Linked DNA regions of Macaca mulatta. The protein of the gene in region 1 interacts with the protein of each later gene in a pairwise test. Links are inferred from orthologs where the notes say so. Each region holds a gene or a part of one and is shown in the gene's direction. Other genes may lie near its edges.

Evidence for each region.
Region 2: the proteins of GPR25 (region 1) and VAPB interact in binary tests that used the Homo sapiens proteins (3 or more experiments, as listed by UniProt). The two-hybrid records come from large-scale screens. The link is inferred for Macaca mulatta from reciprocal best matches to the Homo sapiens genes GPR25 and VAPB.
Region 3: the proteins of GPR25 (region 1) and FATE1 interact in binary tests that used the Homo sapiens proteins (3 or more experiments, as listed by UniProt). The two-hybrid records come from large-scale screens. The link is inferred for Macaca mulatta from reciprocal best matches to the Homo sapiens genes GPR25 and FATE1.

What each region holds. Positions count from the first base shown.
Region 1 is NC_133406.1:58,519,794-58,524,069, forward strand, and holds GPR25 (putative G-protein coupled receptor 25), read left to right. Parts: upstream 1-1,473; 5' UTR 1,474-2,429; coding exon 2,430-3,515; 3' UTR 3,516-4,197; downstream 4,198-4,276. UniProt on the Homo sapiens protein: Orphan receptor.
Region 2 is NC_133415.1:111,191,632-111,195,781, forward strand, and holds the start of VAPB (vesicle-associated membrane protein-associated protein B/C), read left to right. Parts: upstream 1-1,345; 5' UTR 1,346-1,523; coding exon 1,524-1,581; exon of another isoform or gene 1,582-1,630; intron 1,631-1,680; exon of another isoform or gene 1,681-3,809; intron 3,810-4,150. UniProt on the Homo sapiens protein: Endoplasmic reticulum (ER)-anchored protein that mediates the formation of contact sites between the ER and endosomes via interaction with FFAT motif-containing proteins such as STARD3 or WDR44.
Region 3 is NC_133426.1:157,951,733-157,955,866, forward strand, and holds the start of FATE1 (fetal and adult testis-expressed transcript protein), read left to right. Parts: upstream 1-1,329; 5' UTR 1,330-1,417; coding exon 1,418-1,523; intron 1,524-2,565; coding exon 2,566-2,693; intron 2,694-4,134. UniProt on the Homo sapiens protein: Involved in the regulation of endoplasmic reticulum (ER)-mitochondria coupling. Negatively regulates the ER-mitochondria distance and Ca(2+) transfer from ER to mitochondria possibly implicating it in the regulation of apoptosis.

The sequences.
Region 1 (4,276 bases):
CCCACCTCAGCCTCCTGAGTAGCTGGGACTGGTGTGTGCCACCATGCCTGGCTAATTTTTGTAGTTTTAGTAGAGACGGGGTTTCACCATGATGGCCAGGCTGGTCTCGATCTCCTGACCACAAGTGATCTCCCCGCCTCGGCCTCCCAAATTGCTGGGATTACAGATGTGAGCCACTGCGCCCGGCCTCTAAGACCATTTTCCAAATCCTTCCTGGGGATCTCCGTGTGCTAGAGGGACCCCAAGTGAGGGTGACCTTATGTCCCAGTTTGCCCAAAATAGTCCTGGTTTATGGCCCAGGTTAATTCTCATAGTGCCCCTTTCACTCTCAGAAACATCCTGATTTAGATGATAAATTATTTCATGACTACCTCAAACCAACATCAAACTGAACACATACGCACATGCGCCTCACTGTTCTTGGCAGTTAAGGGGACAGTGTCCATATGGTCCCTAAGCGGAGAAACCCCAGGCTTATCTTTGACTCTTCTTTGTGAGACCTATGATGCTACAATTACCTCCTGAATACATCCTCTCCTTTCTGTTCCCACTGCTCATGATCTATTTCAGACACAAATAATTACAACCTACGGTGGGGTCTCCCTGGCTTGAGTCTCTCCCTTCTCCACAGTTCTGCCAGTGATCTTTTCAAAACACAGATTAATGCCTCCTGACTCCCCATGACCTATAGATTGAAATCCAAATCCCTTCATGATTCCTCCTGCTTCATCTCCTGTCCCCACTTTCCTACCCTAGGCTCTGGGAGACTGCTTGTCCCCTGAAAAGCCCACATTCCTACTCATTTCAGTATACTTGTTCCCTTCACTCCCTCCTCCGAGTCTGACCCTTTCTTCTCTTTTCTGCTGCTCTTATTTGACTTTCAGCTCATTCCTGGGACTGATCTCAAGTGTCATCTCCTAGAAGGCCTTTTCTGATTTAGCTTTCCCGTCAAAAATAATCACTCCCCCTCCACTAAACCCTAAGAGGGCTTGGCTTTTAACATTTACTACAATTTGGACTCCCGGCATGTCGGCCATTGCACATTCTGCTTATGTAACCATCTCTCCTGCCTATGCAATAAACTGCTAAGGCCAAGAATGGCATCTCTCGCAGTGCCTGAAACAGTGCCTGCTTCATGGAGGAGTTCATTGTTAACAAGTCTGAATCGAACAAAATTGATAATCCACCTCAAATTTTCCACACCAGGTTGCCCGGCACATCAGCCACTCATTCCTGGGGACACTGGGGACAGACTCAGAGGGCACTGTGACATCAGTTCCACCACAATATCTTGTGGAAGGGATATCTGCTAAGAAGAATTCAGATGTAATTGGCTGCATGCCTCCTTCAGGAGGAAGAGCAAGCATTCCCTCCCCCATCCTCTCCTCCTAAGGGCCCACCGCCCACTCAGGGTCAGACTTCATTCCCCCTCTTCTTTAGGTATCCTCCCCTTACTCTCAGTTTCTCATTTCACAAAGGATCTTGCTGCCTCCAAGCTCCTGACTCATAATTTAGGACAACTAATCTGGTGTTTCATTAGGTGTCATCTTTTGAACTGAGCTTACATCTGCGTCTGGCTTAATAGATAGCTTTTTTAGGCTGGGAGAAGACAGGGAAGAGGCAGATGTGAATCCCAGGCTTGGCCCCTGTCCAGCAGGATGATCTGACTACACCCCTTCCTAGATGCCTTAAAACCCTTCCACTCCGCTTCATGAGGACCTGTTTGGGTCAGAGAAGCCACTCACAGGGTGAAGACACAAACCCCACATTTCAGGATGCTAACAACGGTTTGAGTGCCCAGGGCGGGCTCCCCGACCCACCCAGATCTGCTGTGTCCCGGCAGTGGACTCTTTCCTAGGGAACAGGTGGATTTGGGGGGGGGGGGCGTGCCTTAGGCCCCATACTCATAAAATCCCCTGTCTTCTCCCCTCTAAAACAGAGAAAACAGCAGCCGGTGGGTGCAGGTGGGAAGGGGTGAGGTGGAGGCTGAGAAGAGATTAGGGCTCTCTGGCACCCACCACCTCTTGCAACACGACCCTGAGGCAGTGGGGCAAGTATCCCGATTTCACGAACAAAGAAACTGAGCAACTAATAGAGGAATGGGCCACGCTCCTACTGGGAGGCGGGGCAGGTCTCCCAGCCCTGAGGACTTTTCCTCCCAAGACTTAGTTGTGAAGCCCCTTTTGCCTATCCCAGCCCTTACCCCTCGGGTCAGCCCCAAATCGGAGGCCACCATCTCTCCCACAGGAGCCTGCCCCTCCCACCCCATCCCCTCCTCCCTCCTGTCTTTCCTGCCCACCCATTTGCTCGAGCTGGGGTGGCAGGAAGGGAGGTGCACGACACGGGCATGAAGAGCAAACCCCCTCCTGCTCAGAGCTGCTGCCGCCTGAGCCCAGGGCTGCACCCAGCGCAGGCCTCGTGGCCAGGCCATGGACCCCACAGAGCCCTGGAGTCCCAGCCCGGGGTCAGGGGCCTGGGACTACTCGGGATTGGACGACCTGGAGGAGCTGGAGCTGTGTCCGGCCGGGGACCTGCCCTACGGCTATGTCTACATACCTGCACTCTACCTGGCGGCCTTCGCCATGGGCCTGCTGGGCAACGCCTTCGTGGTGTGGCTGCTGGCCAGGCGGCGCGGCCCACGGCGGCTAGTGGACACCTTCGTGCTGCACTTGGCGGCCGCTGACCTGGGCTTAGTGCTCACACTGCCGCTGTGGGCCGCGGCGGCGGCGCTAGACGGCCGCTGGCCGTTCGGCGAGGGCCTCTGCAAGCTCAGCAGCTTCGCGCTGGCGGGCACGCGCTGCGCGGGCGCACTGCTGCTGGCTGGCATGAGCATGGACCGCTACCTGGCCGTGGTGAAGCTGCTCGAGGCGCGGCCCTTGCGCACCCCGCGCTGCGCGCTGGCCTCGTGCTGCGGCGTCTGGGCCGTGGCGCTGCTGGCTGGCCTGCCCTCCCTGGTCTACCGGGGGCTGCAACCCCTGCCTGGGGGCCACGGCAGCCAGTGCGGGGAGGAGCCCTCCCACACCTTCCAGGGCCTCAGCTTGCTGCTGCTGCTGCTGACCTTCGTGTTGCCCCTGGTCGTCACCCTCTTCTGCTACTGCCGCATCTCGCGCCGCCTGCGCCGGCCGCCGCACGTGGGTCGGGTCCGGAGGAACTCGCTGCGCATCATCTTCGCCATCGAGAGCACGTTCGTGGGCTCCTGGCTGCCCTTCAGCGCCCTGCGGGCCGTCTTCCACCTGGCGCGTCTGGGGGCCCTGCCGCTGCCGTGCCCCCTGCTGCTGGCGCTGCGCTGGGGCCTCACCATCGCCACCTGCCTGGCCTTCGTCAACAGCTGCGCCAACCCGCTCATCTACCTCCTGCTGGACCGCTCATTCCGAGCCCGGGCGCTGGACGCGGCCTGCGGGCGCACCGGCCGCCTGGCGCGAAGGATCAGCTCGGCCTCCTCGCTCTCCAGGGACGACAGTTCCGTGTTCCGTTGCCGGGCCCAGGCCGCGAACACTGCCTCGGCCCCCTGGTAGCTGCCCCGGGCCGCTGGAGGTGGGCGACAGCGGAGCACCGAGAGGAGGGGAGAAGTCCCGGGAGGGGACCCAGATGCGCCTGTTCTGGCGGCAGCAAGCTGCTCCGGCCGGCATCGCATTGCCTCGCGCGCTGCCTGGACTCCCAGGGTCTCCTCCATCAGCTTCCCCGGAACCTCAGAGCAATTGAACTCCCCTAAACCAGGCTCCTGAGACTAGCTGTTCCCTGTCAGCCTGCAGGGTACAAGATAAGTGCTATGAGATGGAGCAGACAGCAACTCGGAGACCCGCAGATTCACCAAGAAGACAGAAGGGAAGGGGATTTCCTTCTCTGCCTCATTGGGAAGAGCACTGACCAGAAATCGAACCCAGACCCCTAAATGCCATTCTGGTTTCTGGCTGTGCTTTCTCCCGTCTCCCACAATAGCTTTTGCTTTCAGAGAAATACCTTCTCCAAGTCAGGCCCTCTGCCCTTCTCACTCACAAAACCCTGGTGTTGAATCTGGTGACACTTCTCCCCCTACGAAGCGGTAGGACTCACCTGGAAGTTGTTCTGGTCTTTCCCTCTCAACAGAAGGTCCTGAAATCGCTCACCAGGCGTTTCTTAAGGTCTCCACCACTCAGCCAGGAACCTCAAAATCTTCTCTGTGAATTCATCTTTCTCAATAAACAGACACTCCTGCTAGCCCTGTCTTCACAGTCGTCTTTGCTTGCGCAGTGGGAGTGAAATGCGTATCAGGAGGCGGGTCGCACACTGGGTGAGA
Region 2 (4,150 bases), on another chromosome or scaffold:
TTTTACAAATATTTAAACATACTGGACTTTCACAAGGTAAGCATGCATGCCCAAAATTTTCAAGTAACCACTAAAACTTAGAAATAGAGTATGTAGGTGAAGAAAATAAGAATGAGAATAAAAATAAACCCCAAAGAAGAAAGGGGAAAAAAAAAAGAAAAACAAAACAGGCAGGACAAGTAGAAATAACAAAATACGATGGTAGAAATAATTCCAGATATATTAGTAAATATAATAAATGTAAATGGACTAAATGCTACAGTTAAAATACAAAGATTATTCTTCCAAGAAATCTGTTTATCATGAAAAATTTCAAGTATACAGAAAAGTGGGAGAAACAGTACAAGAAAACCATGTACCTGCGATGTCAAGTCAGCCATTGTTAGCAATTTGCCATGTTTGTTTCACCTATATTGGTATGTATAGGAGACTATTAAGAACACCTACTTTACTTTCACAGTGAACATAATATAATGAAATACAATTTAAACGGTAATCATGATGTAGAGTATCCATTTTTGAGGTCAAGCAGATCTGGATTCTCCAGCAATTTTTAATTATTTAACTTACTTGTGTGGTTATTTATTCAAAATGTCTCTTCACTAGGCTACAGTAAAAGGATTGGAATCAGGTTAGCTTTTCTGATCATTGTATTTCTAAATATTTATTGCATAAACAAATCGAATTTACTAGTAAAAATTCAGCACAGTGCCAGTTGCCTAATAAACATTTAACGTAGAGTAGCTTGTATTTATTGTAGCTGCTGTTGTCATTGGAAGCATTCAGCAGAGTGATACGAAATAAGCAATAATTGGTAGTTTATTATATTTATAATTATTATTTACAAGACGTCACAGTGCTTAGCCCATATCACTCACCCATAAACATCATGTTTATACTAAGTACTTTGACTATTATTCAAAGTCTCTAACAGTGCCTGGCACTACATAAGCAAGAGAAAAGTGGAAGTTTATTCTAATTGTTGTTACTGAATAAAGCATTTAACACGAGGCTGGCCCCCAGCGGACCCTTAATAGTTTTCGCGGCTGCAGTCGTAGCCGGACTACAAACCCCGCCTCCTGAGCAGCGCGAAGCCCCGCCCCTTGCTGCCCTGCAGTTCCGCCCCCGTGGCTTGTACCGCGCCTGCGCACTGTCCCGGGTGGGGCTCCACGCGCGCAGCTTTAGTCCCCGCCCCTGGAGCTGGCGGCGCAGGGCGCAGCTTCCCGCCGCCCGAGCGGGCCAGCCTGCTGCGTGCGTGCGTGTGTACGCCTGTGCGTGCGTGCGTGCGTGCGTGCGTGCCGTCAGCTCGCCGGGCACCGCGGCCTCGCCCTCGCCCTCCGCCCCTGAGCCTGCACCGCGTAGAACGACCCCCCCCAGCGCGCGCACCCCGTCGAAGACTCTCACCCGTGCCCCGACTGGTCCCCCCTTTTTTGTAAAACTTAAAGCGGGCGCGGCATTAACGCTTCCCGCCCCGGTGACCTCTCAGGGGTCTCCCCGCCAAAGGTGCTCCGCCGCTGAGGAACATGGCGAAGGTGGAGCAGGTCCTGAGCCTCGAGCCGCAGCACGAGCTCAAATTCCGAGGTAAGCCCCAGAGGCCGCCACCTTCATGCTTGCGGCCCCCGCCCCAGTGCTGGAGGGACGGAGTCCGGCGCGGCGGGTGACGTCGGCCCTCGTCCCCACCCCGACGGCGCTGTCGTGGGGGCCGGCGAGGCCGGGCCGGGCCTTGGCGCTCAGCGCGCGCCCCAGAAATGCGCGGAGCGGCCGGGACCCGAGAGGGCTGGTGCAGGAGCTAGGGCCTCTGCCTCCTCCCCGACCCCCAGCCTCCTGGGACTTGCCTTCGAGGCACTTGTCACTTTGCCTTGTAACTTAGTGACCAGTTTGTGATCACTTTAGTGTGAGCCTCCGCCGCTGCTGTTGCCTGGAAGGTTCTTCCCCTGCTCTGTGACAGTGTTGACCTCAGGGTTTAGTTGAGGTATCACCTGCCCAGAGAGGCCTGCTGTGGCCACCCAGCCCACCGTGCACACCTGCTCTCCTGCTGTCCCCATTCTGTCACTGTTTCGTGGTCAGCACCGCACTTTTCGTACTCAAAATCACTGTTTCAACACTAGAAAGGAAACTGCATGAGGACAGGCTCTTGTCAGTTCGCTGCTGTGTACCCAGCACACATTAGACGCCTAGGAAATACCTGTTGAACCAACAAATGAACCTCCTCAGGCCTTCTGATGGGATTGGTCCCATTTTCCGTTCACTGCCTCCCTCATGGTGCCTCCTGGATGCAGCTGAGGGAGGCTGCCAAGGTGCTGGGATCCTTTTGCTCCGCAGAGCTGCCTGGAGCAACACCTGCGGTGGTGGGAAACCATGACCCTGGTTTCTCCCAGACACTATTATCTCTGTAATTTGTGCCTTTATGTTTTCTATGTTGTTCTTTTTTTTTTTTTTTTTCCTACCTTCACCAGGGCCACGAGGTAAAAGGTCTGACATGCTCATTCCTTCTTTTTGCTTGTATCCAGTGATGTGGAAGGCACTAGGGAGGTGATGGATGAACAAGACAGACAAGGCCTCTGCTCTCAGAGAGCTTAGCTTCCGACGAGGACAGACAAACCAGCACACAACATCGTTACAGATCCGTGGAAGGCACTGGGGAGGTGATGGATGAACAAGACAGACAAGGCCTCTGTTCTCATAGAGCTTACCTTCCGACGAGGACAGGCAAACCAGCACACGTGATCTTTGCAGATAGTGCTAAGTGCTGTGTAGGAAATGGAACAGTTTGACTCCATGGAAGTGTACTGTAGATTGGAAGGTCAGGTCTCCACTATATCGCTAGCAGCGGGCTCACAGTAGATGTTCAGCTGGTATTAATGAATGGCCAGAGGTTCTTCAGTTTATATGTCCTATTGGGAAGTAGTGTAGGGTAACTTATGCAAAGTTACCCAGTTGGCAAGTGGTACATTTGAACCCAGACTTCAGAGTTCACGCTGTTAACCGTTACGCTGTCTGATCGCTGGGAAATACTCCAGAACGGTGGCTGTCACTTTGCCTTCCAAGTTAACAATGTGAAATAACTCTGAATTTACAGAGAACCAAAGGCTTTCCAATTAAAATGAAAAAAACAAAAAAACCCCACCAAACCTACCGGGGATCGAAATTCCAGGATAGTACTTGAGGTTTCATGATGCGCTCATGGCTTTCTGGGAACGCCAGATTGGAAAAGGAGGCCAGGTGGCTAAAGTGGTGAGCCATGGTTTCCACTTGAGTTGTCTGAAGTTCTTTTTCTGTCTGGGAGGCCTGGCTTGGCTTCTCCTGAGAATTGGTGGGTTCATTCGGTTAGTCCACAAACATTTACTGAGTACCTGATCTGTGTGTCAGACACCCGGAGAAGCCAAGTCATATCAGCTGTACTCTCCCATTTTCCCTCAACCTCCTCCCAGTACTTTAGGGAAGGGGACAGATGAGAACAACAGCCAGGACAGGACAATGATGTAGGGTAGTTCAGAGTGCCCCAGGAGCATTGAGGAGGTAAGCTCCTGAAGGAGGTGTCATTTGAGCTCAGTTATAAAGGTTGAGTAGAAGAAGGCTCAAAGAAGGAAAGGGTGAGAACATTTCAGACAGAGGAAATTGCATGCACAGAGGCACAAACACTGAGATGACTGGGCTCCTTTGGGATGCCCAGTAGTTCTTTTTTTTCTTTTTCTTTTCTTTTTTTTGAGATGCAGGTCTTACTCTGTCACCCAGGCTAGAGTGCAGAGACGTGCTGTCTCACTGCAACCCCCGCCTCCCAAGTTCAAGCGATTCTCCTGCCTCAGCCTCTTGAGTAGCTGGGATTATATACAGGCGTGTGCCTCTACGCCTGGCTAAAAATGTATTTTCAGTAGAGACGGGGTTTCACCATGTTGGCCAGTTTGGTGTCAAACTCCAGACCGCAAGTGATCTGCCCTCCTTGACCTCTCAAAGTGGTGGGATTACAGGCGTGAGCCACTGTGCCCAGCCACCACTAGTAGTTGTGAATGACAGCAACAAAGAAAATTTGTTGTGGTTGCCCGGCAAGATGGCAGACAAGGCTGGTGAGTAGACAGGAGTCAGACCTCAGTCCCTTTATGCATAGATGCAGCCAGTGTCCAAGTTAAAATTGTGTTGCTTCTCCTTGAGC
Region 3 (4,134 bases), on another chromosome or scaffold:
TTCCTTCCTTCCTTCCTCTTTTCCTCCTTCCTTCTTTCCTTCCTTCCTTCCTCCCTTCCTCTTTTCCTTCCTTCCTTCCTTCCTTCCTTCCTTCCTTCCTTCCTTCCTTCCTTCCTTCCTTCCTCCCTTCCTCTTTTCCTCCTTCCTTCCTCCTCTTTATCCCACCTGACCCAAGGGCTCTGGGGGAAGAAGAGGCTATTTCTAAAAGGAACGTTTTATAAACCTGTCCTGATTCCTTTCACAAATAGCCTCCTATTCCCCCAGGGGCTCTGGGGTTGTTTCCTAGAATGAAGGGTTCACCATAGGTCGTGTAGCAATCAGTGTTTTCCAGAGAAACAGAACTGATAGGATGTATATATGTATGTATGTATGTATGTATGTATCTGCATATGCACAAGTATATATACATTTATTTTAATAAATTGACTTATGCAATTGTGGGGCTGACAAGTCTGAAATGTGCAGGGCAGCCTGGCAGGCTGGCAACTCAAAGAAGAGTTGACACTGCAGTCCTGGGGTAGAATTACCTCTACTTTGGGAAACCTCAGTCTTTGCTCTTCAGGCCTCTCAGTTGATTGTGTGAGACCAACCCACATCATCGAGGATGTGTCTCTACTTTACTTCAAGTCCACTGGTTGTAGATGCCAACCACAGCTACAAAATGCCTCCACAGCAACACCTAGACTAGTGTTTGAAGGAGTCACTGGGGACTAGAACCTGGCCAGGTGACACATAAACCTGACCATCACAGTGGTCTAATCAGTAGGGAAACTGAGGGAGAATTGGGACTTAGAAGGTGCAAGGCCTGAGGCCCCTGGGAGTTCTAGTGGCTGCAGTCAGGTCCCACCTCTCTTACCCTTCTCTCCCTTTGTTCTCATGGCTCCTGCCTAGTCTGACCTACTTCAGAAAAAGGCTACCTCCCATGTCTGGGGACTCTGGATGGGGGAGGTAGGATATGCTCTCCAGAGAATCCCTTCTGAAGGTGTGGTATGGCCTGGATTGCTAGGACCTAACTCTGCTGTAGCCACTGCCTGGCTCTTGGACCCTGTGCCAATCCCTGTTTCTTCATAGAAATGATGGAGGGTAGACCCCACCCTTCCCCCCATGGGCTAAATATGGAGATTTATGAGCCAGAGCAGTTCTCACAGTCAAAGGCATGGAATTGTATCTCTTCTCCTAAGTTGCTTACAGAGTAGCAAGGAGAAGGCCACGGACCTAGCCAACAAGATACAATAGAAACAGAAAGTGCTGAGTCCAAGGCCTCAGCCTAGAGAGGGAGTCTTGCTCCACCCCCAGGTCTGACTATATCTTCCTTGAGCTCCTGTTCCAGGAAGAGGTGATTTTCTGAGTGTGACTCCTCTGTTCCTGGCACCCTGTACATCCTTAGCCATAGCTTACAAGTGAACAGCTGGTTGTGATGGCAGGAGGCCCTCCCAACACCAAGGCAGAGATGGAAATGTCCCTGACAGAAGAACTGAATCATGGACGCCAAGGGCAAAACCAAGAGCACCTGGTGATAGCGGGTGAGGATCCCCTAAAATACCCCTAGGCTACAGCCAACTGTGTAGATACATGTCTGTACCTGTGCATGTGTGTGTTGGGAAAGGTGCATGTGTGCATGGAAGTGTTTGCACATCTGTGTGTTGGGCGGGCTTTGAGGATTTGTGGGTTGATGGTAAGGGATCTAGGAGAAAAGGGATAGATGATGTGAGCATTTTGCCCTGGGAGGGAGGAGGATGGGAACAACATGTGTGGTCCCTCTGTCTTCCCCTTGTCCAAGCCACCACAGTGTCTGTTGCAAAATACTCAGAGGGCTCAAATTATGAGACCAGAGATCAATTCTCTCTCCCAACCCTCGAATTCATTTTCCTGCCATTTGGAGGAAAATCCAGACTCCATGATCTATAAGATTGTATCAGCCTCCTCAAAACATTTCATACTATGATATAGACAGAAAATACCATTTCTATAGCACACAAAGGGATCCAGATCACATTGCATTTATGTTTGTTCTTACAATGCTCCAAGCCTGCTTCTTCCCCAAAGACCTTGCATTTGCTGTTTCCTCTGTCTGGAATGCTCTTTCCCTCAATTTCCCAGGGCTGGGTCCTTTATTTTTTTCAGGTCCCTGCCTCAATTGTTGTCTCCTACTTTTCTAGAAGGAGCCCTTTCCTTCCACTATGTTACCCTGTTTTGATCATTTATGGAGCCTGCATCTCTCTGTCTGCATTTGCAAGGATAGACCTTCTGTTTTACACCTGTCATTCACTCTTATACACAAAACAGATGGTCAGTTCCTTGATAGCTGGAATCTTGTTCTTGGTCATTGCTCTCTAGATTACTGGAGAGTAACCTAGTCTCGAGCTGAGCCCTCAGGATTCTTGTTTAACTTTTGAACAGATGAACAAACTGAGACCTGGGATCAGCTGGTGGACAGTGGTTAATGGGTGCTGAGTGATTCCCAAGAAAGCTGGGGACTCTGTCTTCTTTTTGGTGTGTTTTGTGCCCAAGAAGCCCTGGTACAACTTCTATGGGTGCTCCTGGGGTCTCTGTTCTTCTCTCTAGAAATGATGGAGCATGGATCTCGGTCCCTGGGTGCCTCCCAGAAGAGGCAGAAGTTGGAACAAAAAGCTGCTGGCTCTGCTTCAGCGAAACGAGTTTGGAATATGACTGCCACCCGATCCAAGAAAATGGTACTGCATGGGGTCCTCAGCACATGTTGGCCAGGTTGGGGTTGGGAGTACTGGTTGTAGGGGCTGTAGCCTGACCAGGTCAGGCAGGGCTAGACATTGACTTGTGAGGAGGAGGAAGCTCCTGTATTCCAAGCTGGCAAATGAGGACAGAAAGGTCAGGGTCATCCTTTCCTATGCTTGGGATGCAACCTTGGGAGTTCAGAACGCCTGAAACAAATATTGCATGGGGAGTACATAAATATTTCACTCTGTAAATCCATTGTGTGAAATAACGCTTCCTGTATTTAAAATTGTGTGTGTGGTGCGTGTGTGTGTATACACACAATAACTCAGGTGAGGCTCCTACGCTTTCTGGCTGTTAAGAAATCCAGTCAAGTCGTCTGGCATGGTGGCTCATGCCTGTAATCTGAGCACTCTGGCAGGAAGAGGTGGACGGATCACTTGAGGCCAGGAGTTGGAGAACAGTCTGGCCAGCATGGTGAAACCTTGTCTCTACTAAAAATACAAAAATTAGCTGGGCATGGTGGCACATGCCTGTAATCACAGCTACTCAGGAGGCTGAGGCATGAGAATCGCTTGAACCTAGCAAGCAGAGGTTGCAGTGAGCTGAGATCATGCAACTGTACTCCAGTCTGGGCAACAGAGCAAGAGAAAGAAAGGAAGAGAGAGAGAGAGAGAGAGAGAGAGAGAGAGAGAGAGACAGAGAGAGAGAGGGGGAGAGAGAGAGAGAGAGAGAGAGAGAAGAAGGAAGGAAAAGGAAAAGAAAGGAAAGAAAGAAAGAAAGAAAGAAAGAAAGAAAGAAAGAAAGAAAGAAAGAAAGAAAGAGAAAGAAAGAAAGAAAGAAAGAAAGAAAGAAAGAAAGAGAAAGAAAGAAAAAAGAAATCCAGGAAAGTGAATCTGACCATTTTGTAGCCAGTCCTTTTAAGCTACATTCGATATGGGTGAAGGAATGTTTTAGAATAAATAGTGGCTATACTGTTGCAAATGATATTGGGAAAACACAGTCATTTTGGATGGGGAGGGAAGCCTGACTATTCTAGAGAATTAAGTGAGTCCCACAGTTCTGTAGCCAATCATTTTAGCTAGCTAAATTCACTGTGAGTAAGGGAAAGTTTTACAAAAATTGTTGTTATGCTGTTGCAAAGGCTGCTGGGAAAAGGCAACAAGATTGGAGAGGGAGGGAGGTCTGACTGCTCCAGGAAATCATGTGAGTCCCACAGTTCTGTAGCCAATTCTTTAAGCTACATTCATTGTGGGTGTTGAATCTTCTAGAAAAATGCTGGCCACATTGTTGCAAAGGATACTGAGCCATTTTGCAGAGGAGGTAGACCTGACCGTTTTAGGGAATCATGAATCCCATAATTGCGTAGCCAATGTTGTTCACCACATTCAGGTGGATGAGGGAAAGCGTTAGAAAATGGTGGTTTTACTGTTACCACAG